Linked DNA regions of Canis lupus familiaris. The protein of the gene in region 2 interacts with the protein of the main gene of each other region in a biochemical or structural test. Links are inferred from orthologs where the notes say so. Each region holds a gene or a part of one and is shown on either strand. Other genes may lie near its edges.

The links.
Region 1: the proteins of RRM1 (region 2) and RRM2 form a complex in vitro, tested with the Homo sapiens proteins (3 studies listed by BioGRID and IntAct). The link is inferred for Canis lupus familiaris from reciprocal best matches to the Homo sapiens genes RRM1 and RRM2.

What each region holds. Positions count from the first base shown.
Region 1 is NC_049238.1:7,107,896-7,123,156, reverse strand, and holds RRM2 (ribonucleoside-diphosphate reductase subunit M2), read right to left. Parts: upstream 10,643-15,261; 5' UTR 10,595-10,642; coding exon 10,484-10,594; intron 10,411-10,483; coding exon 10,336-10,410; intron 9,957-10,335; coding exon 9,813-9,956; intron 9,508-9,812; coding exon 9,391-9,507; intron 8,803-9,390; coding exon 8,669-8,802; intron 6,819-8,668; coding exon 6,724-6,818; intron 6,600-6,723; coding exon 6,466-6,599; intron 5,578-6,465; coding exon 5,473-5,577; intron 5,387-5,472; coding exon 5,273-5,386; intron 5,196-5,272; coding exon 5,043-5,195; 3' UTR 3,291-5,042; downstream 1-3,290. UniProt on the Homo sapiens protein: Provides the precursors necessary for DNA synthesis. Catalyzes the biosynthesis of deoxyribonucleotides from the corresponding ribonucleotides. Inhibits Wnt signaling.
Region 2 is NC_049242.1:26,734,503-26,750,837, forward strand, and holds the end of RRM1 (ribonucleoside-diphosphate reductase large subunit), read left to right. Parts: intron 1-223; coding exon 224-385; intron 386-980; coding exon 981-1,060; intron 1,061-1,721; coding exon 1,722-1,923; intron 1,924-4,967; coding exon 4,968-5,117; intron 5,118-5,319; coding exon 5,320-5,541; intron 5,542-7,466; coding exon 7,467-7,543; intron 7,544-10,318; coding exon 10,319-10,454; intron 10,455-11,301; coding exon 11,302-11,397; intron 11,398-12,469; coding exon 12,470-12,658; intron 12,659-14,694; coding exon 14,695-14,883; 3' UTR 14,884-15,328; downstream 15,329-16,335. UniProt on the Homo sapiens protein: Provides the precursors necessary for DNA synthesis. Catalyzes the biosynthesis of deoxyribonucleotides from the corresponding ribonucleotides.

The DNA.
Region 1 (15,261 bases), on a different chromosome or scaffold from region 2:
CTGAAGTCTCTCTTACTTTCAAATAAGTTTATTTTCTCAGCACTTAAAGATTTGGTCCCATAACCTTTTGGCTTCAACTGCAGTGCTGTTGAAAATTTTGCTTAATAATTACTCCTTTATAGATCTACCATTCCTGTAAACTTTAATGACATTTGTCCATATACTCTGCAGATTCACTATAAATGGGCCTAGATATGGATATTTTTAAGACTTTATTTATTCATGAGAGACACAGAGGGGCAGAGACACAGGCAGAGGGAGAAGCAGGTTCTTTTTTTTTTGGGGGAGAAGCAGGTTCCACGCAGGGAACCCGACATGGGACTCGATGATCCTGGGTCTCCAGGATCACACCTGAAGGCAGCGCTAAACCGCTGAGCCACCCAGGCTGCCCTGGATTTATTTTCATTGGGATTCCTTGCACTTTTTGATTGAGTCACTTCTAGAAAATCATCAGTCATCATCTCTTTAAATATTAGCTATCCAGTCCCTCAGGAACACTTTGTTTAAAAATAACATGCGCCCCCCCCTTCCATCATCCACATCTCCCTCCCATCTACTTCTCAGTAATCCCTCAGGTCCCTTCCCATCAATACACCCTCAGCTGTGTCTCCTCTTACTAAGCATCTTTCTTTTTTTAAACTCCAAGACCTTTAATTCCAGTAATTTTGCTATATTCCAAAAACTGTAGCAAGTTTTTAAAAAATCATCCCATTTCTTTAGAATATTGTTCTTTGGGTTTTCATTTTTCCCCCCTGAACCCATTATATCATCATGTATCATCTTAATTTTAAGTTTCTGGATTTTTAAAAATATTTATTTTTAGAAAGAGGGTGTGGGTAGGAGGGCCAGAGGGAGAGACTCTCAAGCACTCTCCATTGAGCACAGAGCCCAACCAGGGGCTCGCTCTCAGGACCCCGGAGATCATGACCTGAGCCAAAATCAGGAGTTGGACCCTTAACCAACTGAGCCACCCAGGTGCCAGTTTCTGGATTTTCATACCTGTGGTTCCTACAATCATGTGGTTTCCTCCTGTGTTTTAAAATTGGCAAGGATGAACACCATCTGTGAGAATCACATGCACCCAGGTTGGGCTGACATATGTTTCTAGACCACAAACTTGTGAGTGGTACAGGCCTGGGGTTGTGACTTTGGAGTCCAGGAAAACGAATACGTTTATCCCCCCTACCCCTACCCCATGGGATTATCTCCTAGCCCCACTTCACTAGGGGTCCTGGCTTGATAGCAGGTTCTGGCTCTAGCTCCTCCACTAATAGAGGTCAATCTCTCCCCTCCAGATCCAATAGGTGTTTGGTCCCTCACCCCCCAATTTCTCTAAGGGAGGAAGAACTACCCTCCCAGAGCTGCAATGAGCCTGTTTTCCCAGTCCCGGTCTGTTCCCGGCATCAGAAAATTGCCCTTTCTTAGGAAATCATTACCCACTTAACTTTTATGATGACTGGCCAAGTTTTTAAAACTGGGGGTGGGTGTCCAGGTCACCTCAGTTTGCTCTCTTGCTGGAACCACCAGTACTTAGAGGCAGGCCAAGGGGTCTGTGGTCCCTGAACCTTACATCCACAGTGGGTTTAGCCACTCATCAGAAAACATCCTGATGTGAGGATCCCCTGCAGGGAACAAGGGCCATCACGGATCACACTCTCAAGTGCCCAGAGTACACCAGGGAGGTAGCCTCCTCTACAGAAGCAGAGTCGGGGGGAGAGAGATGATGGGGTGTGGGGTATGCTATCAGCCTTCTCTGGGTCCAACAGGCCAAGCCATACAATCCTACTCTCTCAAAAGCCAAAGCAGTTCCCCGGGGAGCTGCAACCATATTGCTATGCAGAATTAAACCACTATTAGGATCTCCAGGCCAATGGTGGCAGAGCTCTTCATCCTCAATGGCACACATAAACAGCCAGTCAGCAACCTAGCCAGATGGCCTTAATACCCATCCAGTTCCAGCTCCACAAGAAGCCGGTCATCAGCTCAGATCACAGGCCACGGCGAGCAGACAATTCTGACTCCGTGGCCTAACCACTTAACTGATGCAGGTCCTCTAGGTGAAGTATGAGAAGTGTGTTCTAGAGTGGGCAGCTGGCACAGGTGGCCCACAGGGAAGCTGTTTTAAGTTGATCCTGAGAGCATGGCTGCCCAGAACACCCCATTGGGCCTGCCACCACCCTGATCTTACACATCCAATGACATTAGAGTGCCCTTGGGGTATGAAGGCAACAATCTCAGGTTCGTCCAAGACACAGAACACACCTGCTCCCAAGACCTCACCCACCCCAAAATACTCAGCTCAAATTAATTTCTCATTCACCAGGGCCCAATCCTAGGAGCCTTTATGCTAAGACACAGGTAAGGACCTGAATGTGCCTTCTACAGGAGCCTTGGCAGGAAGACCAGGAAGAGAATCTGGAGGACCAGTCCCCACCTCCCTCCTCCTCCTCCACAGAGAAACAAGATCACCCCCCAACACAAGCTTCTCCTAATGCTCCCATCCACCTCAAGTTCTCGGCTATGCCTTCCCTGCCCTGGCTCATGGTCTAACCGAGTCACTCACACCTCAGCTTCCTCCTTGGGAACCTAAGCTGCAGAGGGCTGGCTAGGTTCCCTGCCACCTCTCCTATGCTTCAGAACAGTGCCTGATGGGGCAGCTGTGGTCACACACATACCTGCAGATTTCAAGTGGCAGGATAGACAAGGTCATGAGTTCAGAAAGGCTTTAGGAAGGTAGGCCAGGAAAAGCCATTCATAGACAGAGGGACTAATCCCAGCCCACCAAGAAGTCCACGCAGCTCAATTTGGTGAGGAAGAGCAAAGCGAGGAAGACCCACCCACATCATGTAACAAGATAGGAAAACTGAGGCCGAGCAGCAGCTCACCCACGGATGTTGGGAATTTAAGCCCCCTCTATCCTGACTTACAGACTCCGTGGGCAGCATAGGGAATGCTTTTGACCATCACCTCTCAGGCACCCCTTCTCCTATAGACCTTATGCCAGAACAGGGATCAGAAGTCCCCTCCTCAAAATGGATGAAAAGCAAATAAACTCAAATCTTCAGGAAAAGTATTTTTCTTCCTAAACTGAAATGCGAATTAATTTATCAAGGAACGGACATAAGAACAGCTCATTTAATCCCAGTGCAGTATTCAATTTTGAGACTTTGAAACGCTTGACTAAAACCTGCTTCCCTCTAAACGGCTTAGGAAACGGAATCGGAGTTGGCAAAAATTAATCCTCACGTTACGCACCAAAGGGAGGCAGGATCTGAAAATCTGCTTCCGACTTCCGTCTGCACCCGACACGCGAGGCAAAAACGTTTATTCACCTTTGTGTTGCACAAGGGTAAGAACCACATTATCTAGATTCACTTCAGGTAACAATAATTTAAAAGACAGCCACCGTTACAGAAATTTTTAAATTGACTATTTGACAATTTATACAATAAATGAAGAAAACTGACAAAAAAACAGGTCAGTGATCACCCAACACAAAAAGACAGGTTAACAAATGTGGCCAAAGGATCAGTGCGTATCATCCACCACCTTCTCGTAACCTCCTGGCTGGGTTTTTTGTTTTTTTTTCTTTTTTTTTTTTTTTGATGGGGAGGGAGAAAGCAGGGGTAACACAAAGACAGGTTGATTCAAACTAATCCTATTAAGTATATTATTTTATACTTCTTTCTAAAATTACTGTGTGAACAGAACCTGTATTAATATAGCTCATGCAACTCTAGTTTTCTACTGCAGGTCAGGAATCCAACAAGGTAATGCTCAGATTGAGGCAAAAGCTGGAAGTAAGTGCCCTGAAGACTATCTGCTCCAATCATGAACTGCACTAACTGAGCAATTATTTCAAAATATGAACCAGATATAAAAGAACAAAAAAACAGAAGAAATATCTAATTGAAAAAACATGTAGTAGACACAAATGGATTAGGTCAACATTACCTACTTACAAATTAGACCAAATCAGAGAAAATGCTCAACTTTCCGGGGAGCCAATTTCAGTTCTGGTTGTGCCACTTAATTGGAGCAAGATCCTAAGCGGGTCAATTCGTGCAAGGATTGATTTCAAAATCAATTTACAATATTATCTCAGACCCTACAGCTAAGGATCTAAGGATCTTCTTTCTATAAGAACTCAAGGTGGGGGAAAATGTGGTTTGAGAAATAAAAGGATGCTGATCCTCGCACACCCCCAGGCGACCAGCAGTCAGCCTACATCACACTTCAAGCTCTAATGATTTAATTGGAACCTCCTTTCCCCTCTTATCCACAATACTTGACCTGGCCTCCAAAATATAAAACACAACCTGCGTTTCTTCATGGCACCAAGTGGCTAATACCTAGGTATATGAAGGATTGACTTTAAAGTTGATTAAAGAGAACATCAATTCATTATAGAAAATAAACAGAAATAACATGCTTGATTCACACAGGTTTGATGGACTTTTTGGTTACCTAGTAAATTGCAAACTGGCTCCCATTAGTGGTCAATAGAATGCTCTGCATTTGGGCTAGAAACCAGATTAAGTTAAATCAAGCCTTTATTTCAACAGTACAAACTATGTTTATTTGTGTGTAAAGTGCCAGTTTTATATAAAAATCGGTACGTAAACTTAAAAATCTGCTTTGAAGCACAGAGGCTGACACCGCCCGAGGGCCTTAGACTAACTAATTAATCGTGCTAGATCAGACTCACTTGAGTCCCCACACTTTTGAGACCTGACTGCCACCAAGAGCCACTGTGAAGTCAGTGGACAGCCAGCCTGCCCGCAAAAGCCAAACACGGCCAATATCTTTCATTAAGAATCCGAGTAGCTTTTTGTCTATGCTTCTTTCTGGGTGAGACGACTAGCATTAACTGATCAACAGGCTTGCTTATGAGGTAGCTACACAGTTTTAACAATACTATTAATGAACGTTATGGATGATTCATGGTGTAGCTGGTTTGATACACTTCAAGTAGCTGATTTTTTTTTTTTTTGATGAGAAAGGGAAAAAAAAAAATCAGCAAAGAGCACATCTTCATTCACTTAGAAGTCAGCATCCAAGGTAAACGAATTCTCTGTTGGACTTGACATCACTCCCATCCTCTGATACTCGCCTACTCTCTTCTCAAAGAAGTTAGTCTTCCCTTCCAGTGAAATATTCTCCATAAAGTCAAATGGATTTTCTACTCTGAAAACCTGAAAAGGTTCACAGGAAAATTTAAATACAGAACAGCAGTTTCAGGAGAACCAGAAGGCTATAAACAATACTGTACCTTGCTAAAACCGAGCTCCAGCATAAGTCGGTCTGCCACGAATTCAATATACTGCTTCATTAACGTGCAATTCATCCCAATGAGCTTCACTGGCAAAGCCTCCGTGAGGAACTCCTAGGGATCGAAACGCAGCTTCTCAATAGAACAGAAGCATAAAGACCTCTTCTGGTGAGCACAAGAGACCCTCCTGTATCACCCACCTGTTCTATCCTAACGGCATTGATAATTATTTCCTTCACCCTCTGCTCTGAAGGTTTGTGGACCAGGTGTTTGAACATCAGGCAGGCAAAGTCACAGTGTAAACCCTAGAAGAAAAGGTTTAAGATCACTATAAAACCAGACGTCTATCGTTAACGTGAAACAGGAAATGGCTTTACCCTTTTCTGCATTCTCCTCATATGTCTCATGCGAACATACTAAAAGCACTTAAAACTGTCAAAGGGAAAAGGATTTCAACTGCCATCTGCTCTGTGTAGGTCACGGCAGGTTCAGCCTTATCCCAAGGCCCTCAACACTGCTACCCAGGGCAATGACAGCAGGCCAAGTCTGTTCCCTGCTGCCCCATACAGGAGCACAGGACAGGGTAGGACTTCAGCTCAAAGCATTTTTTTCTACATCCGTGAGCTCTCATTTTGCCACTATTCCCAGCAGTGACTAGGCTGCTTTGAGATTGACTTGGCTGGTTTTGAGATTTACAACCTAATGGTCAGGAAATCAGTGATGCAACTGCCAGTGAATGGAGTCTACAAGTCTTAGTGCCAAGTAACCCTGATGTTCCTAGATCAGAAGGAAGAACTTACAAAGCAAGATCAACTTATTGGTCACTGGGCTCCAAGCATGACAGGGTCTGTGGCTCTGGCTTTGCCAACTAGAATCAAATGAGAGCATCTAGACATCTTCGCCTTTCCCTCCAGCTTAATCCAAGTGCAGTCAAAGACAGGACACTGGACCAGAAGGATTCTCACTTCCTTTAGGATGCTTATCGACCAACTTTGGAGCACAGTAGGCTCATACAGGAGACTGGACGAGTATTGAGAATACAAGTACTTTCAATATATTTCATGTTCTACCAAGCCCAGATATGGCTGAATTCATGTTCAATGTGGACATGAGGCAACATTTTATCGAGTTCCCTTCAGTGAACCAAAGAGTTGTAGATGTTTGGGGTGCACATTAGCCTGAATTAGACTCACCTCATCTCTGCTAATAAGTTCATTGGAAAACGTGAGGCCAGGCATCAGGCCCCGTTTCTTGAGCCAGAATATTGACGCAAAAGAACCCGAAAAGAAGATTCCTTCCACGGCAGCAAAGGCCACAACCCGTTCTCCTGTGAAGAGTTAACACCGACATGGTTCCGGTGAGCAACCGTACATGTGCACAGGAAGGGCCAACAAACCATGATGTCACTTAGAGGATGAAACTCAGGCATCCGTGGGGCCAAGTGGCCTTACCATAGGTAGCTTCTTTGTCCCCAATCCAACGCAAGGCCCAATCTGCCTTCTTCTTTACACAAGGCATCGTCTCAATGGCGTTGAAGAGAAATTCCCTAGGAGACACCCAGAATATCAGCAATTACAGCAAAGACTTCCTACCACAAACATGTAGAGAACACTGGGACCAAGGCGAAATTGAGACTCAAAACTGAAATGTTTTCTCATTACCTTTTTTGCTTCCCACCCCCCACCAAGTGTTCTTTTTAAAATCCCAACATTCATTTGGCTCCTGTTAATACCAAAATAGGTATTCTTTACTTCACAAGGAGCCCTGAGATCTACTAACCTTAAAAGTCTTAGTCCATTACACCAAGAACATTTATCGGCTTTTATTATATCAAGTCCAGGTCATGACAAAGTTCACAGGCCCTATCTTTAAACTTGAGAAGCCATAAAATCTTAACTGCTAAGACTATTTAAGCTACGCTGACCATTATCTTCCTAGGTAGCACCATCTTCACTAATCATATCGGGCTAATTATATAGGCCCCAAATGCCATATGGATATAATAAAATAATTAAAGCCAATAAACCGAATAATCTGAGCTTGCTTCCTACTTATAAGTCTATACTTACACTGATGATCCCAGATCAGGAAAGTAAATCAACTGTCCCCCCGACTTGCCTAGTTCTTCCTTATTATCCTCTTCCGCCTTCTGTGCCCAGCTTGGGAGTCTAGATTCCCCAGCCTGTCCCTTTATCAGGTGACCTTGTCTTCTGAACCCAAGGTCATTAGAGCAACCACATTGCTCTCTTCATTCTCTTTCCATGTCGACATCCTGAGACCAGGGTCTGCCTCTCCCTAGCTTTTGAACCACCAGACCCTCCTGATCCTACTGCCCATTCTGTTTATTTATCTCAGTCAGGCCTACGTTTATCCTTCCTCATTTCGGTCTATAAACTTGTCTCCCGAAGCCTGCCAGCCCTTCCAAGCCACCACTCATTTTTCCCCTTCACATTATTCCAGATAAGCCACAAGAGCCTACTTTACAGCTCTATCACTTCTGTACCACGCAGGACTCTCATCCTGAAGTTGACCTTGGTATCTAGACCACTCACACGGCCATTTCTAACTTTCTCCTCCTCTCCAATCTGGAAAATGTAAAACTGGCCTCAAGCTACCTTGATTTCTCCTCTGTGATCCCATAATGCAAACCCATCTCCTCACACAGTCCTGTGCCTAAACTCATCTATCAGTAAACTGCTGCCTTTGCTTCACTCTAGAATCTCTCTCTTAAACTTATTTTCTGTACCACATTACAAGGTCTTTAAGAGGAAAAGTAACGTTCTATTTGGATGTGTCCTCTATTCCCCTCCACTTTGCCCCAGCTTCTCGTTTGAGGTTAACAGATTTGCACATGAGTAAAAACTGTCAGACCTAGGATTTCCTTCATCGTACAGCCTCTATGGATGTGTTTTGTTTTGGAAGAAAGACACTGGATTCAATGACCAACAGTATACTCCCATCTCTAAAAATGGAGTAACCTCATGACTTTTTTTTTTTAAGATTTTATTAAAAAAAAAAAAAAAGATTTTATTTATTTATTCATGGGAGACACAGAGAGAGATGCAGCAGAACACAGGCAGAGGGAGAAACAGGCTCCATGCAGGGAGCCCAATACAGGACCCGATCCCGGAAACCTCAGATCATGTCCTGAGCTGATGGCAGACGCTCAACAACTGACCCATCCAGGTGTCCCTCATGACTTGTTTTTAAGTGACTGGCTAATAAAGTGAGTTTAGGCCTCTTCCTCAGAGCACACAGGACGAGGGGCAGTAGAAACTGCCTTGTCTGCCTGCCTAGTCACTTGGAATCCTTCTACCCCTATGTAACCGCGAAAAGTTGAAATATTTTAACAATTAGTGAATCCTGAACACGTTGGCAGACCACCCAAATACTCACCTTTCTTTGGAATCTTTAATATAAGTGTCAATGAGGAGACTATACATCTCAGAGTGGATGTTTTCCATGGCAATTTGGAAGCCATAGAAACAGCGGGCTTCCGTAATCTGAACTTCTTGGCTAAACCGCTCCACCTAGTGGTAAAACACATCACAATTCAGCTCCAGGAACATCCACTCAGGATCCTGGATACATCACACTCCCTTTGCAGTATTATAAGGTTTGTTTCTATTTTTAGAAACAATACGTTTTCACTATTCTGGGGTAAAGCTGGACATTTTATGCCAAAATTTTACCTCAATTTACAGATCAGGAAACAGATAAGGTCTATTTTATAGGGATTATGCAAACATTCTTCATTTCTTCCTAGTCCACTGCAGGAAGGAACCACTCACAATAAGACATATATGGAATCAAATTTTTTTAAAAAAGCAAAGCCACAAAAAAGAAACAATGTCATAGTCATAAGGAGTAAACCTATTCCTACCACTTGACATTGTCTTTAAGCTTCTTGAGCCCGGAGGGGGGACAATGACTAACCCTAAAGAAGAAACAACTGCAAAGTAGATTATAAAACAGGAAACACCATGTAATAGAACTACCAGCTTACAAATACAGAACTTAAAAAGATGAGGAAAGAGGATTAGTTTTTTTCTGGAATGACTTGGCCCGTTTCTTTAATCTGGAAGCGAACGAAAGCAGATGTTTTTTTGGAAACTCACCAAGTTTTCATTTACTATGCCATCGCTCGCTGCAAAGAAAGCCAGAACATGGGATATAAAATATCTCTCCTCAGGCTTCAGGGATTCCCAGTGCTGAATGTCCTTGGAAAGATCCACCTGAGGTTTAAGAGGTTCACAAGGGACGGTAAGCATGTGGGGCCGTACACACACATACCTAACCCTTAGACCTTCTTCTGTTAAGTGTCCTGACACCACTTGATCGGGAACATCCCTCCCATGCTCAGCTCCCTTTGCCACTTAGAACGTCTCACATCCTCAGTGGGCAACCATCCCCAAGAGGGGCAAGAGGAAGAGTTAAGTATATTTCAAGCAAGTTGCATCCACTCCTGCAGGGGGCTTCCTCTGGGGGCAACGCTTACTACACTTAACCTTGTAGGGCCCCAGCTCCTGCCTCGGGTTACCTCTTCGGCTGTCCAAAAGGAAGCCTCCGCTTTCTTATACATCTGCCAAATATCATGGTACTCGATAGGGAAGATGACAAAGCGACGGGGGTTTTCTCTCAGCAGTGGTTCCTCCTCCGCGCTGGGGGCAAGTACCTTAGTTTTCTGTGGGGGTGAGAAAGTAATGAAATGTCTCTGGTAGGGCGAACCACATGAAATCGCCACTTTTTGCGGCCCAGCGCGTTCAGTTACCGGCAATCCCGTGTGGTTCGGCGTGTCAAGTGTCGGCTGTCACACACGGCATGGTACAGAGAACACAACCGGGGTGCAAGAGGGGAAAGGGGGGAGTGTGCGCAAGTGTGAGGAAGGGCAGACAGGAGCGGGAGGGAATGCCTTGGCGGGAAAGGAGCGCGGGCCGGGGAGTGGCTGGGTTAGAAACGCAGGGGAGACAATGAGGCTTTGGCGCCAACAGGCGGCGGGCGCCCCCTGCCGGCAGCGCCCCGCCCGCACAGGCCGCTTCCCCGCCGGCCGCCCCGCCACTCACCGGCTCGGCGGGCTCCTGGAAGATCCTCCGGGCGGTCTTGCTGGCCAGCACGCGGGTGCCGCTGAGGGCCGGGGGCTGCGGGGAGACGCGCGGTGAGGGGCAGCCCCAGCCCTCAGGTCCCCGCCCCCGGGCCCGCGCGCGCGCTCACCGTGTTCTCCTTGTCCGCCAGGCTGAGCCCCTTGAGGGGCGAGAGCTGGAGCTGCTGCTGCTGCTGCTGGGGGTCCGCGATGGTGGCGAGCGGGACGCGGACGGAGAGCATGGCGGCGGCAGGCGGGCTCGGCGGCGGCGGCGGCGCAGGTCCGGGGAGCCCCCGCGCCGCCGGGCCGGCCTTTAAAAGCCCACCGCCGAGGGGCGCGCGCGGTGGGCGTGGCCAGGCGCCGCCTTCCCATTGGATGCGCCGCCGGACGTCCGCGATTCGAGAGCCGCGCGGGAGCCCCCGCCGCCGGCCGCCCCGGACCCTGCGCGACCCCTCGGGGACCCCCGGGACCCCCGGGACCCCCGGGCCCGCCCACCGCGCGAGGGGCGCCGCCGCCCGGCCCCTGCGGGCCCCCGCCCGGGCGAAGGGTGCAGCCCCCGCGCGATTCGGTGGCCGTGGCGCGCGCGGGACTCGCCTACCCGGGAACCGCTCGGGATTGAATGAAGCAACGCGATTGGAGGCCGCCCGGGAGCGGGCGGGAGACCATTCCCCCACCCCTGAACCGTTTTCGCGGGTTGAGGCGAGTGGTTTTGCAAATGAGGTTGGTGCAAATGCCTGGAAACGCCCCTGGCTGCGAGAGACGAGCGCGGGGTTGCGACCGTTTAGGTACGTGTCTCTGGGTGGGGGGTTAGGGGTCCTCGAGTTCCGGCTGACCTGGCGGCCGGAGGGTCGGCGACAACCGTGCTGCCTAACGGTTAGGGTCGCTGGCCACGGAGTCCCGCAGTGCAGTTGCTGTGTCCCTCACCTGGTTGTAAAACATTCCTTGCCCTCCTTGGTAAAATGGGACTTGTCGCCCGACCTAACCTGTGGGATCATTAATAAAATGAGATCAGTGCGATAATTCTGGTAAAAATGCACAGTCCTTTGTAAAGCCGAGTTAACTAAATGCCAGAGAGGGCCTTTGGTACAGTTTGCCCCTGAACTTGTGCCTGGTGTCAGACCACCTTCCCCTGTGTCAGCATTTTTAAAAATCAGAAGCTGAGCAAAAACATCTTGAAAGCTTGAAGAACTGGGAATTCATCTACTGCTTATTGGGCATCAAGTAGTCTGAAGAGATTGAAAACCTGCATTGTCATGAGGCAGACACGAATTCATTAACAGTTTTTGTTTTACTTTGTATTTGGTTTTTCAGATTTGCCAGACATTTGCCGTGCAAGTGGCAAAATGCCAGAAGTGAAGAGAAAGAAATGTTAATAACCAAGAAATAAATGATTCCCCTGTGAAAAGTTCCAAAATCTGCAAACACTCTTAGGGCTGTCACTAAGAGAAACACTGGACTTTTTACAGGGTCTTTTCTAGATATTATAAAGAGGTCAGAGGTAGGGAAGATCCCCCTCCTCACTTGGGTCTGTTTCTTCCATTTCTTAGTACCACGTACATACTGTGTTTAATGTATTCTCAAGCCTCAGAGAAAGATCAGTGACGATCCTAGCCCTTAGACAAAGCAGTAACTAAAACTTTGGTCTAGCATCCTTAGTTTTAAAGCAACTCGCAGGCATTGTCAATGCCACCTTCCTTCAGCATCCAGCTCCAGAAAAATGGGTATTGTTAGAGATGATTTTATGGCTGATAAAGCCATTATCACATCTAATAAATGTATCAAGGATGCCCTGGTATCCTCCACTACCCAACTCACATTCCGATTTCGCATCATCCATAACCGAAGTGCTCCTTTCGGTTGCTGTCTCGGGCACCATGTGCTTTTTGCTTAGCTCCTGTTATATACTCTGTATGTACAGGAACCCATGAAAGTATCACTCTGTGAGCCAGCCAGAATTTGACTTCGTTCTTAGCTTCACTTTTTCCTGACTCCCCAAACAACACGGGTGCACTGTAGAAAACTGGGAAAGACCAGAAGTAGGTAGCACGAGGCAGAAAGAAAGGTCGCCGCCATTCTCCCCTTCAGCCCTCCCGACGGTGAGTCACGGGGGCACGTCCCGTGCTCCCTCCTCCGCGCTCCGGCTGCTCGGACTTTCCAAGAGGAAGCGGGCGCCGAAAGCTACGTGGCCCCGCTCGGAGGTGGGCTTCGGGCCCCCGGTGCCTCCTCTCTGCCCTGCGGCCCGGAGAGAGACGGGGGCGCACGGCCAGACCGGGGGACCCGGGCGCCGCGACGGGATGCGCGCCGCGGCCGCCACGCGCCAGCACCAGGCACCGCGCGTCTGCGGTTCCTTTTCGTTTCCTCTGGGCGCCCGTTTTGACATCTGCTCCACGATTGGCCGGCGGGAGGGAGAGGCTCCGCCCCCAGCCTCCAGAGGGCGGGGCCTCGGCGCCCAGCCCCGCCCCCCCCCACTTCCGGGCCCGCGCTCCCGCCGCCCCGCCCCTCGCGGTTGCGCCTTTACCCATCCTCCTCCCTCCAGCGGGCAGGGCGAGGTGGCCCCTAAGGGGTCACTTCCCCATCCACCCCCCACAGGCAGAGGCCCGGGCCGGGAGCTCAAGCGGCTTTCTCAAAGCCACTGCTCACTCCCCCAGACACCTGCCAGGGACCGCCTGTTAACCCTCCTGGCGACAGCCACCCCGCAGCCCCTGGGCACCTGAGCCAGGTGCTTCGGGCTTGTAACCCAGACAACCGTGTGGGGGGCTTTCAGGCCTTTTCAGGTGAAGAAAGGAAGGCCAAGGAGGCAAGGAGACTGCCCAAGGTCACACAGCTCCAACCGCACAGCTAGAATTTTTCTGCCCCAACTTCTTATTTCATTTTAGAGGTAGGATTGAGTGTTCATCAGTTGCACAGAACACCCAGCACTCACTCCTGCCCTCCTGAAAGCCCATCACCCCTAACCCCGTCCTCCTACTCACCTCCACCCCAGCCACTCTGTTTATTTCCTGGAGTTAAGAGTCTCTTATGGTTTACCTCCCTCTCAATTATCCTCTTACTTTTTCCTTCCCTTCCCCTATGTTCATCTGTTTTGTTTCTGAAATACCACATATGAGTGAAATCATGGTATTTGCCTTTTTCTAACTGACCAGTATTGCTTGGCATGATACCCTCTAGCTCCATCCACATCACTGTGAATGGCAACGTTTCATTCTTTTTCATGGCTGAGTAATATTCCATCGTAGGTATATACCACCACATCTTTTTCTTTTTTAAGATTTTTATTTATTCATTTGAGAGAGCAAGAGCACTAGCAGATGTGTGTGTATGGGGGAGGGGGTTAGAGGGAGAGAGAGAAGCAGACTCCCCTCCCCCACGCAGGGTGCCTGACCTGGGGCTCAATCCCAGGACCCCAGATCAGGACCTGAGCCGTAGGCAGACACTTAACTGACTGAGCCATGCAGGTGCCCCTACCACATCTTCTCTATCCATTCACATGTCAATGGACATCTGGGCTCTTTCCATAGATTGGCTATTGTGGACATTGCTCTAAACATTGGGGTGAATGTACCACTTTTAGTCACTTATCTTTTGGATGAATACCTGGTAGTGCAATTGCTGGGTCATAGGATAATTCTATTTTTAACTTTTTGAGGAACTTCCATACTGTTTTCCAGAGTGGCTGCATGAGTTTGCACTCCTACTAACAGTGTAAGAGGGCTCCCCTTCCTCCACATCTTCACCAACATCAGTTATTTCCGGAGTTGTTCATTTTAGCCATTCTCTCCCTCAACTTTTTATTAGGAATATTTCAACAGACACAAAAATGGAAAGAATTCTCCAGCGTTCACCCACCACCAGTGTAGGATTCAACAATCATTTCCCCTTTGCCATATTTGCTTTCTCCCCTTCACTGGGTATGTGAGGCTTTTGTTTTTTTCTAGATCATTTGAAAGTGAGGTGCAGATGCCATGCCATGTCACCCCCAGACTTTTCAATATATCTCGGCAGGTATCTCCTGAAACTAAAGACATTCTCTAAACATAACCACAGTAACATGTTCACACCTAAGAAAACTAACATTAATTCCTTAATACTATCTAATATCTAGCCCATAATCAAGTGTTCCCAGGTATTTCAAATATGTTTTTTCAGTTTGTCCATTTTAAGTGCACACAGTACATTTGGTTATTGTGTCTTTTTGTTCTCTTTTATTCAGAACAACTCTCCTATTTTTTTTTTCCCCGTGACATTGACTTTTTAAAGTTCAGGCCAGTTTTCTTGTAGATTGTCCCACATTCTACACTGGCCTCATTGGGTCTCCATAGTGTCATTTAACTTGTTTTGCTAACCCCTGTATTTGTGTGTGTGTGTGTGTGTATGTGTGTGTATATATATATTTTTTTAATATTTTTAATATAAAAAATAAATATATTTATATATATAATGGGAGTTCTATCTAAAGGCTTTATTAGATTTAGCTTTTTTTTATTGTAGTAAAATATACATAAGCTATGATTTACCATTTGAGCCATTTTCAAGGAGCAAATCAATGCCATGAAATTCACTACACTATTGTGCAACCTTCAATCACCACCCTGCATCTCTAGAACCTCTTCGTCCCAAACCGAAACTCTGTCCCCATTAAACACTAGCTGTCCATCCCCCCCGCCCACCAGGCTATCATAACCAGCATCCGTCTTTGCCTTCCTGAACTTGACTAAGTGCCTTAGGTAAGCGGAATCTTAAAATATTTCTCCTTTTGTGACTGGCTTATTTCACTCAGCATAACATCCTCCAGGTTCATCCATGTTGTGACCTGGGTCAGGATATCGTTCATTTTTAAGGCTGAATAAGATTCATATTTAAGAAGAATAATAAGAATAATGATAAAAATAAGATTTAATAAGAATAAGAT
Region 2 (16,335 bases):
TTACTTTGAACAAATTATTTCATCTTGTTTTTATCAATTGGCTCTTTTTTACTCCCAGAATTATAAGAACAATATTACTACTTATATTTGTAGTATTTTTATTTGTATTATCTCATTTAATTCCTTAATTGTGAAGATCAAAGGAGATATAGAAGTGCTTTGGAAAATACAAAGTTTCTTTGATTCTGTTTCTGAAAAGAATGATGAACTTATTTGCCTTTAGCGACCTGGGGCATTTGCTATTTACCTGGAACCTTGGCATTTAGACATTTTTGAGTTTCTTGATTTAAAGAAGAACACGGGAAAGGAAGAACAGCGTGCCAGGGACCTTTTCTTTGCTCTTTGGATTCCAGATCTGTTCATGAAACGAGTGGAGACTAATCAGGTGAGAAATAGGTACCTTTTGGTAAGAACAACTTGATTCATATCAGCTTTCTTTTTTCATCAGCTTTCATCTTAAATCAAACTTAGGAAGAGCTCACCTATGTGTTATGCTACGGAAGGCACTTTAAAACAATTTAAGATATGGCATTCCTGCCCTCTTGGATTTTTATTCTCTAAAGCAGATGCTATCTGATCTAAAATACTTAAAGGGTCATGTAGAAATAGGCAGAACTAGGTGTTTGAGCCTGAGTCCAAAATGATTAATTCTATAGCAGATTCCCAAGAGAGTCTATGGAAGCCATCTTATCCCTTGCAGTATTCCTAATGGACTATGCAGTTGTTTTTTTTTTTTTTTTTTTTTTTTAAGATTTTATTTATTTATTCATGAGAAACACATTGAGGAGAGAGAGAGAGGCAGAGACGCAGGCAGAGGGAGAAGCAGTCTCCATGCAGGGAGCAGTCTCCATGCAGGGAGCCAACTTGATCCTGGGTCTCCAGGATCACGCCCCGGGCTGGAGGCAGCGCTAAACCGCTGAGCCACCCGGGCTGCCCTCAGTTGGTTATTTGAAGTCTCTTATGAGTTCTTCCCTTTGTAGGACTGGTCTTTGATGTGTCCAAATGAATGTCCTGGATTGGATGAGGTTTGGGGAGAGGAATTTGAAAAGCTATATGAAAGGTATGGTAAAAATATGAAAGTAATAATTTTTAACCATGTGTTTCTTTTATTTGGGGGATCCAAATTTCAAAACATCAGTCATTAGGCAGTTTCTAGGAATCTTCAGAAATATGCAGGAGAGAATGTAATTAATAATTTTATTTTGGTCAGATTTGCTACCTGAATCTTCACCAAAATTTGGTTTGTATCTTCCTTCTTAAAACTTTGGGACTTACTTTGGTGCTTTAGTTTTTAATCGATACTTATAAAAATGAAAGTAAAGGGTTATTTTGTTTTGTTATACAGTACATTTGATTGAATTAGTTATGCTTTATATTGCCCACAGAAACCAAGAACAGCTTGGACACGTGTCAGTAGTTCATTAAATAATAGCACAGTGGTAGATTTGACCACTTTAGATGTTATTCCTTCCTTAAGAACGGTATTGTTGATATAGTGGGATTTGAGTATATTCTAAATGGGTCCAAAGCTGCCTGATTTTCCTCTGTAGCTTTAGCCACAGTAAAATGAATATCCTATTCCTTTTCTTTCCCCTTCTCTCTTAGCAAAACATAGTAAACATTTAAGAGTTTTCATAATTTTATATCTTAGTGTCTTCAAGTTGTCTACAATAAAGATTTTCTTAGGGAATATTTAAAGTAATATTAGCTTTGCCTTTCAGTTATGAGAAACAGGGTCGTGTCCGCAAAGTTGTAAAAGCTCAACAGCTTTGGTATGCCATCATTGAGTCTCAGACAGAGACAGGTACCCCGTACATGCTCTACAAAGATTCCTGTAATCGGAAAAGCAACCAGCAGAACTTGGGAACGATCAAATGCAGCAACCTGTGCACAGAAATAGTAGAGTATACCAGCAAAGATGAGGTAGGTAGACAAACTTCTGCCCAAGTCCTGAGAGAATAATCTTAGGTAGTTATTATTTGTGAATCCCTCACTTGATTTCACTTGAGATGGGGGAAGGGAGTTTTCATAGTTTGCTGTAAGTAGAAGGCACTAAAATAGAGATGACAAAGGAAAGAACACGTGTGATCTGTGCCCTTAAATATCTTACAGTCTAAACCATGTGGAAAAGATTATCACTTTTTTCTTACACACACATTGTTGTAATAATCTTTTCTTAGTGTTCAGTTATGGTGGATTAAGACAAACACAAGAGAATATATCAGGATGTTCATTCAAATTAAAGTATGTAAATAGGTAGAGAGTCCATTCAGTAAATGGTGAGGTAAAATTCTAATCTCAAATCTTTAAAGCAATTCACAGAAGAGGCAAGGCTAGAAATAGGACATAGATTTGTTTTCTTTGTTTGCTTTTTAAAAAATATTGTATTTATTTATTTGAGATTGAGCATGAGCTAAGGAGCAGAGGGAAGGGGAGAAGAAGACTCCCCACTGAGCAGAGAGCTCAACACAAGGCTCGATCCCAGGACCTTGGGATCATGACCTGAGCCAAAGGCATATGCTTAACCAACTGAGCCACCCAGGCACACCAGTTGTTTTTTTTTTTGTTGTTGTTGTTTAATCTTATGAAAAAATTTTCCATTTGGGAAGAACAGCCTGTCAGATCTGAGACAGGAATAGGTTTTATGCAGAGAATGTCAAGTAAGTTTGTTTTGATGGAGCAAATACATTATGGTTTGGTATATGGAGAGATAGGCTATGGCTGGGGGAGGGGAGATAGTAGGTGAAATGTCTGGCATGTCACAGAGTAGAAAGCCCTCATAAGTTCCAAAAAGGAAAATAGCTTCAAAAGGCTGGGATGTGAAGGATAGTTCTTGTTTCTGGTAATAATTGAGTGTCTTGCTGTGAAAGGAAGTTGGAGGTTAGCTTATGGAGATTATTATAGTTTTTGGATGACAGGCTGCTTGGATGTTGGATGTAAACTTTGGAGATGAGGAAGAAAGAGCAGATACCATCTGCTAGGACCTAAAAAACATGACAAATGAAAAGTGGGGAAGAAAATGATTAAGTGAATTAAACATACTGCAGTTTAATTTAGCCAGAGGTAGTGAGCACTAGCTATAGGTAAGGCACTGTACCAGGTGCTCTGGGATGTAAATGATTATGGCTCAGGCCCTGCCCTTTAGAAACTTATAATTCATTATTGGAGAAAATATACCATACTCAAGTAACTATTGTACAGGATAGATTATGCTATAGAGACCCTCTTAAAACACAAATCAGACCATATCATTCCTCCACACAGCACTCCTCTTTGACTTTCCGTCCCATGCAGAGTTTGTTCATTCTTTTTTAAAATTGAAATATAATTCTCATACCATAAAATTCATCCTTCTAAGTGCACATATCAGTGTTTTTTAGTATATCTACAAGGTTGTGTAACCGTCATTAATATCTAATTCTAGAACACTTTCCATCAACACAGAAAGAAACCTTGTATCCATTAGCAGTAGCTTGCCAGTTGCCTTCCTTCCCCATCTCTGGCAACTCTTAATCTGTTTTCTGCCTCTGGATTTGCTTCTTGTGGACATTCTGTATAAACAGAATCATATAATATGATATGGTGGTCTGTTCTATCAGGCTTATTTCACTTAGCATGTTTTCAAGGCTTATCTGTGTTGTAATATGTATTGGTATTTTATTCATTTCCATCCAGAATTCCTACAGTGCTCTGAGTTCATGCACAACTGGGTATGCCCATCTCATCTACTGTTAGTTTCCTCCTTGCTCACTGTGCTCCCGCCCTATAATTTCCAGATATATCAAGTACACTCTGTCATCAGGATTTATGCTTTTACTTTGTTAAAATGCTCTCCCCCGCCAAATAGTCACATGGCTTGCCGTCTAACCTTTTCTTTTTTCTTTTCAAAGATTTTATTTATTTATTCATGAGACACACACACACACACAGAGGCAGAGACACAGGCAGAGAGAGAAGCAGGTTCCATGCCGGAAGCCCGACATGGGATTTGATCTTCGGTCTCCAGGATCAGGCCCTGGGCCGAAGGTGGCACTAAACCGCTGAGCCACCCCGGCTGCCCCTAGCTTTTCATTTCATTGTTCGTATGTCTCATTCTCAGTGAGGTCTTTCTTGTCAACTCTGTTTAAAAATGGCACTCCTTCTGTCCTTATTCCTAGAACCCTTTTGTCTTTTCCTGCCTTATTTCTCTCCCTTGCATTCATTAGACTTGTGTAGTCTGAGCTGTGCTTTAAACATGCATAACGTGCAGAATTGAGTAGGTACGATGAGCATGAGAGAGTCTAGTTGAGAGGAGTTGAGATTGTGGGTTAGGATAGTCATAATCAAAATGAAAAAGAAAGTGTATTCATTTAACATTATTAAGCATTTTTTATATACCAGATGTGATACTAGTACTAAAAAATATAAGGGTAAATGAAATACAATTCTTTCCTGGAAAAGTTTACCACCTAGTGTAGTGTAGTGGAAAATCACCTGAAGAGCTTTTTTAAAATTCACAAACTTGGATCCCCTGTTGTTAGGGGCTTATCAGAATCTCAGTGAGAGTAAGGGAGGATTGTATAATTTGGAAGACCTTTTTACAGTGATGGAAATGTATCTGGTAGTTACTGAGCACATGACTAGTGCAACTGAGAAACTGAATTTTTAATTTTTTTTAAATAACTATATATGACTAGTGGCTACTGTATTGGACAGCACACATCTACTGACAGACAGATACACGTAAGAAATTATAGCACGATGGGAGGTATGTCTGGACTATGGAACACAGATTCTCTGTCTTATCTATTTCACTGGTCCATGTTACAACTCACATGTGAATAGGTACTGGGATTTAGAAATGAATTATGAAGAGGTTGAAGATAAAGATAAAAATTTTATAGTGTTAGAGGCTTACATGATGTCATTGACACAGGGGGAAGAAATAAAAATTGTGTGATTCTTGACCCATTTTCATTGCATTCCAGGTTGCAGTCTGTAACTTGGCTTCCCTGGCCCTGAATATGTATGTTACATCAGAACACACATACGATTTTAAGAAGCTGGCTGAAGTCACCAAAGTCATTGTCCGAAACTTGAATAAAATTATTGATATTAACTATTACCCTGTCCCAGAGGTATGAATAGAGGTCTTTGCTTCTTGGTAATTATTGAAATTAAGTTGGAGGGAGTTTATAATGGTCTGCCAGTCATCATTTAAATGGCTATCATTGGAATGATGTGAGAAAACAGATAAAAAGAGAACATGTTATTATTTGGTATAGATTGTTGCCTCTCCTGTTCAATAATGTCTCCTTCTTTAAATCTCCTGGCACAAAGGCATGCTTATCAAATAAACGCCATCGCCCCATTGGAATTGGGGTACAAGGTCTGGCAGATGCTTTTATTCTGATGAGGTATCCTTTTGAGAGTCCAGAAGCCCAGCTACTGAATAAGCAAATCTTTGAAACCATTTATTATGGAGCCTTGGAGGCCAGCTGTGACCTGGCCAAGGAGCATGGGCCATATGAAACCTATGAAGGTTCTCCAGTCAGCAGAGGAGTAAGTATATGGATGAAATTTCTTTTTGCCTGTGAGTTCCTATAGTTGGCTGAATGGTAGTCTTCAAAAAGATATTCGCATCCTAATCTCTGGAACCTATGAATGTTACTTTTTTGGATTTAAAAAGGGTCTTTGCAGATGTAATTAAGGATTTTGAAGTGAGATTATCCTGGATTACCCCAGTGGGCCATAAATCCAGTGACAGTAGTCCTTGTGAGAGACAGAAGAGGAGGAGGCAACATGACCATGGAGGCAGAGGTGGGAGTAATGCATCTAGAACCCAAGAATGCCAGTAGCCACTAGAACTGAAAGAGCCAAAGAACAGAATCTCCTCTAGAGCCTGTGGAGGGAGTGTGGCCCTGCCAACATGTTCATTTTGGGCTTCTGGCTTCCAGAACTATGAGAGAATAAATTTTAGTTATTTTAAGCTGCCAAATTTATGGTGATTTGTTATACCAGCCATAAGAAACTAATATGGTACTTTTGCTCTCTAGAGTAAAAAGGATACTCTATTTTAATGTTTTTTTTTAAGATTTTATTTTATTGTATTATTTATTTTTAGATTTATTTATTTATTTGAGAGAGAAAGAGAGAACAAGCTGAGGGAAGAGCCAGAGAGAGAGGGAGAAGCAAACTCCCTTCTGAGCAGAGAGCCCCATGTGGGGCTCGATTCCAGGACCCCAGGATCATGACCTGAGCCAAAGGCAGATGCTTAACTGACTGAGCCACCCAGTTGCCCCAAGATTATATTTTTAAGTAATCTCTACACCTAACATGGAGCTTGAACTTACAACTCTGAGATCAAGAGTTGCATGCTTCACCCACTGAGCCAGCCAGACACTCCTTTATTTTAATGTTTTATTTAGAACTAGTCATTGGTAAAAGTGACTTAAGAAGAATACTAACTGTATTAGTTTTCTTTTGCTAAATTTAGTTAGATTAAAACAACATACATTATCTCTATTCCCTTGAGTCAAGGATGCAAGCTTGCCTAGCTGGGTTTTCTTAGGGTCTCACAAGGTTATACTAAAGCTGTTGATAGGACTATGGTCTCCTCTTGAGATCAGAGTCCTTTTTGAAGCTCATCTGGTTGTTGACAGAATTCATTTGTACTTGTAGAACCCATGACATTGTGCTTCTTCAAAGCCAGTAGGAGGGAGAATCTCTCATTTCAGGAAGGCCCCAGCCCAATTGCTCTTCTGAGGGTTTTCATCTGATATGTGAGGTCTACCCAGGATAATCTTTCTTTTCTTTAATCAAAATTAATTGATAAGTAACGTTAATTACACTTGCATAAACTTTTCACCTTTGCCATAATTATGTGAGTGACATCCACCACATTCCCAGTTCTTGTCCACACTCAGGAGGACATTGTACATGTCCTGGCACCAGGGAGTCAAAACTTGGAAACTGTCTTAGAATCTGCTTCCCACACTGCCTTCATTATTGGTAGTATGAGTCTCTTCAGTGTAAAATAAAATATTATGTTATTTTTAGTCCTGGTGTTCCTGCTGATATTTAGGAAATCTGATAACTAGTAGTTTGAAAACAGGTATTTAATAACTAAATAAATCAATCAAGGCAACTAAGAAAGATGGAATTTTTACTGTACAAAAAGAGAATGCATCTCAACAACATACTTACATGAATATTGGGATTTCCTGATTTGTAGATATAATACGGATCTTCTGAGGGCTCACAGCAGGGATTTGGGGAAAAGCTAAGGCTTTACCAGTTTTCTTAGCCTGCTTTTGATCAATATGACTGCATGAAAGTTTGTCCAGGGAAATCTTTGGACCTTTGGACAGTTCTACTAGAAGACATTTGTTGGGTTGTGGGGCATGGCAGATAGTCATTTGGTTTTTGTTATGGTTTCAAATTGTTATAGAGTGATTTATCATAAATTTGCATTGTTTGTTCTCTAGATCCTTCAGTATGATATGTGGAATGTTACTCCCACAGAACTATGGGACTGGAAACTTCTCAAGGAAAAGATTGCAAAGTAAGCAAAGAGATGTAAGGTAGCTTTGAAGTAAGGAGGGTTGGTTCTCATTCTGGCTTTCAGAAATTAGGCATGTTATTTAAACTTCTGAAACTCATTTTTTCTCTTTCAAATGGGGCTAAAATGACCTATCTACAGAACTATTTTTTTTATAAATTTATTTTTTATTGGTGTTCAATTTGCCAACATATAGAATAACATGCAGTGCTCATCCCGTCAAGTGCCCCCCTCAGTGCCCGCCACCCAGTCACCCCCACCCCCCACCCACCTCCCCTTCCACCACCCCTAGTTCGTTTCCCAGAGTTAGGAGTCTTTCATGTTCTGTCTCCCTTTCTGATATTTCCCACTCATTTTTTCTCCTTTCCCCTTTATTCCCTTTCACTATTTTTTATATTCCCCAAATGAATGAGACCATATAATGTTTGTCCTTCTCTGATTGACTTATTTCACTCAGCATAATACCCTCCAATTCCATCCATGTCGAAGCAAATGGTAGGTATTTGTTGTTTCTAATGACTGAGTAATATTCCATTGTATACATAGACCACGTCTTACAGGACTATTTCTGTAAAAATACTTTGTAAGATAAATGTATGAACAGTAACCTACAAATTGCTTGGTACAATGAAAGCATTTTTAAAAAAATATTTTATTTAAATTCAATTTGCCAACAAACAGTGTAACACCCAGTGCTCATCATCAAGTGCCCTCCTAGTTCCCCCATCCGCCCACCCTCATAAATGGTAGGTACTATTGTTAGCTGGTTATGTTTTAGGGGTTTAACTACCTGGATGAAGCAATTCTTTTTCTCATTAAACTTTCATATTTCCAAGTGTGCTTGCTTTTTATATGTTTTTCACTTTTATTTGTTGCTTAACTCTACTGGGCTCCTAAATGACTTTTGCTGAATTGATTGTCCTAGGAGTAAGTTAAGGATTTTGGAAGAGCTTTTGGAGTTTAATGTATTAAATTGTGTGGTAGAAAAATGTAAATCTTGAGGTTGTTAAGGCTTTTCAAATTAATAAACATAAAAGGTTTAAAGGTGGGAAAATGTTTTGCTTAGTGAATAATAAAACAAATTGTTTTTACTTTCTTCATGAGCCTATCCTCTCTGGGTTAATGCATATCCAAAGTGATGTGTACAGGAGGAAGCAGTTGCTTTTTGTCTTAAATTTGTTTATTTGCCTTTAAATTGTTTTATTACTAGGAAAAAAATGTTTTAAACTAGGAAAATGTATGTGTGAAAGGGAGAAAAATGAAAATTATCCCAGTACGACCTCCTCCTAAAAACCTGTTTATATCTTTGTCTTTCATTTTTCAGAATTTCTTCTGAATGTGTATATTTACATACAAATTCAACTTTTACAAAAAGACCTGTATTTTATTTTTTTTTCCAAATACTGTATAGATATTTTTCTATACATAACTTTTTAGCATTTCACAATTAATACATGAATAACAAAGTTCAAATATGGAAATAAAACAGAAGGTGAAAGTTCTTTTTAATCCTCTTGTGCCAACTACTTGTTCTACAAAACATAAGCCAACTTATTCCTTTTCCTAGAAATAAACATTTTCTAGACCTTTTTCAGTACATTTAGAGATGCACAGTTTTGTTTTAAAACTGTGATCAAACTTGACATATTCTAAGACTTTTAGTGATTTATTTTGGCCATCTTTTCTTCCTAGTACATGCAGATCTACCTAATGCTTTTAATGGTTACAGAGCATTCCATAGTTTGGTATGTCCTGTATAGATGACTTTTCAAAACATTTTCCTTTCTTTGGACAGGAAATCACTGTCCATTTTACTGAGGAAGAAAGACATGAAGTGAGTTGATCGTTTGCTTGATGCCTCAAAACTAGAAAGTGAGAAAGTGAGATTAAGATCTCAGTTGTATAGATTCCATTAGGATATGAAGCTTTAAGCTAAGTACTGTATAAATCCAGAGGTATAGAATATAAGAAAGATAAACTCTATGTTTGAGAAACTTAAGACTAAGTAAGGGTAAGACATGAAGTATAGGTAAAGTATATATATAAAGGTACAGGTCATAGAAAATGTTTGCAGGAGAAATATTTATAACTAGTACTTATTTTTAATATTGTCTACCTGGTCAGGAAGATGTTCCTAGAGTGGTCATCTCTTAGGCTGAGCTTTGAAGGATGAGCTAAGAGCAGTTTGAAGATTTCTCAGTGTTCAGATAGTATATTCTTCCCTAAGCACGTTCTTTGTCAGTGAGTAGAGTCAAAAGATGTTAACCTTCCTCTCTAGGAACTTATGATTGAAGAAGTAATAGAAGTCAGGAATATACTTTGAGCATAATTTTTCCCTTTGGAGAATTTTGGTGACATGTCCGATTCTGACCACTTTCACATCATTATGTTTCCTGAAAGGGCTTAGCACAGTGATCAAATGAGCACTTAGAAAACAATGAGGATTGAATGAATGTACCCTGATTAGGACTCTTCAACAGCCATTTGGTTATTTCCTTGGGGAAGCTAGTGTATCAAGTGCTAATAAGTCATAGTGTGATAAGAATCGCCAGCAGTAAAATTGTGCTAATTTTGTTTAGGAGTTTAGGAGAGGGGTGAGCTATATCATCCATACTGTGAAGTTGCGTCTCTATAGCGGTTAAATTCAAGTCATTATGTGAGTCTAATGCATGTATTATGTCACTCACAGCATCTGCATTTACCCCAGTGACTTAACTAGCTACCTTCCTGGCAGATTATAGCTTTAGTACCAACACCTAATAATCTCCTTTTCTTTAGGTATGGTGTAAGAAACAGTTTACTTATTGCCCCAATGCCTACTGCTTCAACTGCTCAGATTCTGGGAAATAATGAGTCCATTGAACCTTATACCAGCAACATCTATACTCGAAGAGTCTTATCAGGAGAATTTCAGGTGAGAAGATTACGACTGGACCTACAGGAGATCTTGCAAAAGCGTGATGTTAGGAGTAAATGCCAACTCATGTTTGGTATGTCTCTTTTGCTTAGTATGGGTGCAAAGCTTTGATACAGTGAGTCATCTTCATCTCCAATATTATTCTGTGTTATTTGATAATAGACATTCAATAAATATCTGTGAAAAGAATAAATGATTGAAGGTTGGGTAGAAAAGTAACTTCTTGATATTAGAGTTCACATATTTAACCATTATGTAATCATAATTATATGCACTGTAACTTCAGATGTTTAAGTCGATAATAACTCAAGATGTATATAGAAGCAAAAAGTATATGGAACCATGACAATTGTTTTCAGCCTTGTTTACAAATTAGAATTTCTGGTGGATAGGACCAGTGTTTTTTAATGTTCCCAGATAATTCTAATGTGCAACTAGGGTTAAGAACTACTAATTTAAAAGATTTTTATTTGTGAATTTCCAGATCTGAAATAAATTTCTTTAAGTTTGGAGTGGATACATTACTAATTTTTCTTAACTATTTATTGTATCCTTACTTGGGGGAGGGGGAATTAATCCCCATAGATTTACCCATTTTAGGCAATGCTAGTTCTTTTTACTTTTGCAAATATTATGTTTCTTGAATTACAGATCAAGATTTTAAAGGAATATAACTTTTGATTGGTAGGATGGGCCTCTCAGTCTTACAAGATAGAGAATTTACCGACTAATCTAATGTTAAATACTTCTTCAGTGATCTTATTTACTTTAAGCTCCAAGCCTGTGATCCTATTTAGGCCCTGTCATTCTTATTTATTCCTTGACATCTTGGTTTTTTATTCAGATTGTGAATCCTCACTTACTAAAGGATCTTACTGAGCGGGGCTTGTGGAATGAAGAGATGAAAAATCAGATTATTGCATGCAATGGTTCTATCCAGGTACAGAATGAAAATCATGTGTGTTCTTTAGAAGCTACATTGGTACCTTCTCACTTATCCCATGCAGTAGAGAGAAAGGTTATTCACTGTGGTCATTTAGGCTATGTTCACCTTTGCATTGTTGTGCTAGGATTATATACATCTTCACATAGCTAGGCTTTTACTGTCTTGTTTGTGCAATAATATAAAGCGTAGTTTCCAACTTCTCTGTACTTTAGAATCAGTGGGAGCTTTAAAAATTTTGAAGCTTAGGTTGTACTCCCAAACAAGTAAATTAGAATGTCTGGAAATGGGAGCCAGGCATTACTATTTTTTAAAGATGCCCTAGGTCATTCCAAAATGCATCAAAGTTTGGGGGACCACTGATATAAAGTGTGAAATTAGAAAGTTAAACTTAATTAAAAAGCAAAAGTGGAGACTGAAGACTCAAAGTCCGAAAAACAGAGCCACAGATATTGTTTAACAATAGAATATTTGCAGCAGAGAATCAAGAAGTATTTATATGTAGATGGAGCCCTCTGTCTAAACATTTGTTTCCTTGGCAAAACAGAGAAGGATTTCTCTAACATTTCTATATTTGCTGACAGAAATTGTAGCATTAGCTAGTTTGTATGTTTTGATGGCATATTAACCCTAGACCTAAGAAAACATTATTTCTATTGACTCCGAAACAGGTTCGTTTCATTGCTTCCATTGATTTTCTACTTGTGAGTTACAGTCCTGATTACTTGTGTTTTCTTTAAAACTCAAGGATCATTTGTTGCTGCTTAGCTCCATCTTTTATTAAGTACCTCTAAAACAATGAATGTTTTGACTATAATCCAAATAGAAATGGATCTTAAATCATTACCACCAGCCAGATACTTTGTTGGTTAAATGAGGTTTTGTTGGTCATTCCAAGGCAGAGGTGAGCAGTCTTGGGAAACTTGATAAGGATCATATTATATGATACTGAATGGTATGGTCAGATCTGGCAGGAAGAATTAAGGCCAGACCCTTGTGTCGTTAATTATGTTAATTATACTGATTTCTTCAGCCAGACTGTGATAAACATTTGGTTTTCCTTCTTCAGAGCATTCCAGAAATCCCTGATGACCTGAAGCAACTTTATAAGACTGTGTGGGAAATTTCCCAGAAAATCGTTCTTAAGATGGCAGCTGAAAGAGGCGCTTTCATTGATCAAAGCCAGTCTTTGAACATCCACATTGCTGAGCCTAACTATGGCAAACTCACCAGTATGCACTTCTATGGCTGGAAGCAGGTTGGTAGAGGAAATCAAGGAGGACTTGTTGCCTGCTTGGGATATTTTGGAATTGGAACAATACAAATTCCAAATACAATTTTGTATTCTAGCTACTTAATATTGCCATCTAGCAGTTCTTCCACTTCAAATCCAGTATGTTAAAACCAAATCATGGTTTTTGTACCAGATCAGGGGCTCACTTTGGATATCCTTGTTTCTTTTGGGATTATTTCATTCTTAGGTTTGAAACCTTGGAGTTACCTACACTTCTCCCCTTATTCTCCATACAATTACTCACTAAGTTGTGGTGGTTGTTCCTTTCTACTATTTCTTGAATATCTTTCTTCCTGTTCCATTGCCATTATTCTTAATTTCTTAACTGATCTCCCTGTTTCTGGTATCTGCTCCAGGCTGTCTTGTGCACTGCTATCATTTCTAAAGTAAAACTTTATGCCTATCAACCCACTATTCAAAAACATCCATTGTTTCCCCACTTTAACTATCTACAGTATAAATGCCAGTTACCTACCTTGGCATTGCCAGCTGTAAAGTCCTATAATCCTGTATTCTATCCTTTTTTACCTGGCAGTCTGCTGGGTATTTATATAGATGTATATATATTTTTTTAATTTAAGAGACATTTATTGAATACATCCTGTGTACTAAGACTGAGGATACCAAATAGAAGATATGATGATCTTTATCCTTGAAATAGTCATCATCTGTTCTTTATAGAGACGCAGTCTAGCTCCCTAAATAGTTAAAAAGCAGACATGTTGTCATAGGCAAACTTGGAAGTCATACACATAATACAAAACCTAGAGAACAAAAATATTTGACATTTCCAAAGAGGTAAGCTTTTTTAGGGATAAAAGGAATGTAATATACTGTCTCTTTTTTTTTTCTTTTTTAAGGAAGAGTGGACTTTTAAAAAAGTTTAAATTCAATTAATTAACATATAGTATACTATTAATTTCAGAGATAAAGATCAGTGATTCATCACTCTTATATAATACCCAGCACTCATTACATCATATGCCCTCCATCATCTAGTAACCCTATCCTCTCACCCGCCTCCTCTCTGGCAAACCTCAGTTTGTTTCCTGTGATGAAGAGTCTCTTATGGTTTGTTTCCTTTTCTGATTTCATCTTGTTATATTTTTCCCTCCTTTCTTCTATGATCCTCTGTGCTGTTTCTTAAATTCCACATATATGAGTCAGGTCATATAATTGTCTTTCTCTGATTAATTTATTTCACTTAGCATAATGCACTCTAGTTCCATCCATGTTGTTGCAAATGGCAGGATTTCATATTTTTTTGATGGCTGAGTACTATTCCAGTGTGTGTGTGTGTGTGTGTGTGTGTGTGTGTGTGTGTATCCATTCATCTGTTGATGGACATATGGGCTTTTTCATAATTTGGCTATTGTGGACATTGCTGCTATAAACATTGCCGTGCAGGTGCCCCTTCAGATCACTCCATTTGTATCTTTAGGGAAAATACCTAGTAGTGCAATTGCTGGGTTGTAGGGTAGCTCTTTTCAACTTTTTGAGTAACTTCCATACTATTTCCAGAGTGACTGCACAAGCTGGCATTCCCACCAAAAGTATAAGAAGGCTCCTCTTTCTCCTCATCCTTGCTAAAATCTGTTGTTTCCTGATTTGTTAATTTTAGCCATTTTGACCAGTGTGAAGTGGTATATAATATAGCCTTTTATCTGAGAAGACATTTACAAATATCTTCTTTCATTCTATTAGTTGTCTTTTGGTTTTGTTGACTGTTTTCTTTGCTGTGCAAAAGCTTTTTATCTTGATGAAGTCTCAATAGTTCATTTTTGCCTTTGTTTTCCTTGCCTTTGGAATACTGTTTGACTCTTCCTTTAAGCATTTTTGAGAAGGCTTCCTAGAGGAGTTGGAATTTCAAGTTTAGAAAACATTCTGACGTGGTTTATGGAAATGTATTTTAAACATTGGTCTTGAATGTCTAGTGTTCTTACAATTTTTTTTGTTTTGTATTCTTACAATTTCTGATAGTTGTATTTGCTTCCTTGTAGGGTTTGAAGACTGGGATGTATTACTTAAGGACACGACCAGCAGCAAATCCAATCCAGTTCACTCTAAATAAGGAGAAGCTGAAAGATAAGGAGAAGGCAACAAAAGAAGAAGAAGAGAAGGAAAGGAACACAGCAGCCATGGTGTGCTCTTTGGAGAATAGAGAGGAGTGTCTGATGTGTGGGTCCTGAGGAAAGGCTTAGAAGAGACCAGCACTTCTTCACAGACAAACTACTTCTTGAGCATAGATAGGCATTGTAGGTTTGTTTGAAGTGCTAAGGCTTTGCTGGATCTCATTGCAGCAAAAGGATCAGTCAATTTAAAGTACTGTTTCTATATAGTGTGAAAGTATTGATTTTAAAAATTGGTATTTTGGGAATCAAAGTAGAAGTTTTAGGAGTGCAAAACAAGTCACCTTGCAAATAAGGAATGATTGAGTAGGGTTTCATTGCCCACCTGGCACCCCTTTTCTGGTGACCTCAGTTTTCATAAGGAGACATGGTTTTGCTGCTTTGACTGGTGAGTCCATAGACGCAAAACTGAGTCCTAACCTGTGAGAAGTGCTGATAGGACCTTTCTCTGGATAAGGTCCTATAGGTCATTCTGAAATAAACATTTCTAAGTGATTGTGTGAGACCAAATTTGTCATTTATTTTCATACAAAGGTCAAATTTGGAAAAAAAAATTTCTGTTCTTTGAGAGTTCAGGGAAGAAATTTAAAAAAAAATTACTTAGATTCTGTGTTGAATTCTGATCTTAACATATGCCTATTTCCTCTTTTTATTGTGGTAAAATATACTTAACATAAATGTTACTGTTTTACCCACTTTAAAAAGCATACAATTTAGTGCCACTGAGTACATATATAATATACAACTATACCACTACTACCTATTTCCAGAAATTTTTTATCATCCCAAACATAAACTAAAGCAGTAATTCCTCATCTCCTTCTCTTAATCCCTGGTAACCTCTGTTTTACTTTGTCTTTGAAGTTACTTATTCTAGGTATCTCATATAAATGGGATACTATAATATGTGACCTTTTGTGTCTGGCTTTCTTCACAAAGCATGTTTTCATGGTTCATGTAGCATATAGCAGAATTTAATTCCTCTTAAAGGCTGAGTAATATTCCACTGTATGTCACATTTGTCTACCCATTCATTTGTTAATGGACATTGGGGTTATTCCCACCTTTTGGTGATTGTGAATACTGCTGCTATGAACATTGATGCATAAGTATCTATTTGGATTACTGTTTTCAATTTTGAGGGGTTTGTACCTAGAAGTGGAATTGTGGGACTATATAATTCTATGTTTAACTTTTTGAGGAACTGCCAGACTTTTCTATTGGAGCTGCACCATTTGGCATTCCTACCAGTTGTGCATGGGAGTTCCAGTTACTCCACATCTTTGCCAACACTTGCTAGTTTTTTGTATTTTTTATAATAGCCAACTAATGGCTTTTGACAGTTTGATTTTTATGTATCTTGGTGTGGATCCCTGAGTTTATCCACCTTGATCGTTGGACTACTTGGATCAGTAGCTTCACACCTTTCATTAAATTTGGGACGTTTTTAGCCATTATTTCTTCAGATAATCTTTTTGCCCCTTTCTCTTTCTTTTCGTTCTGGGACTTCCA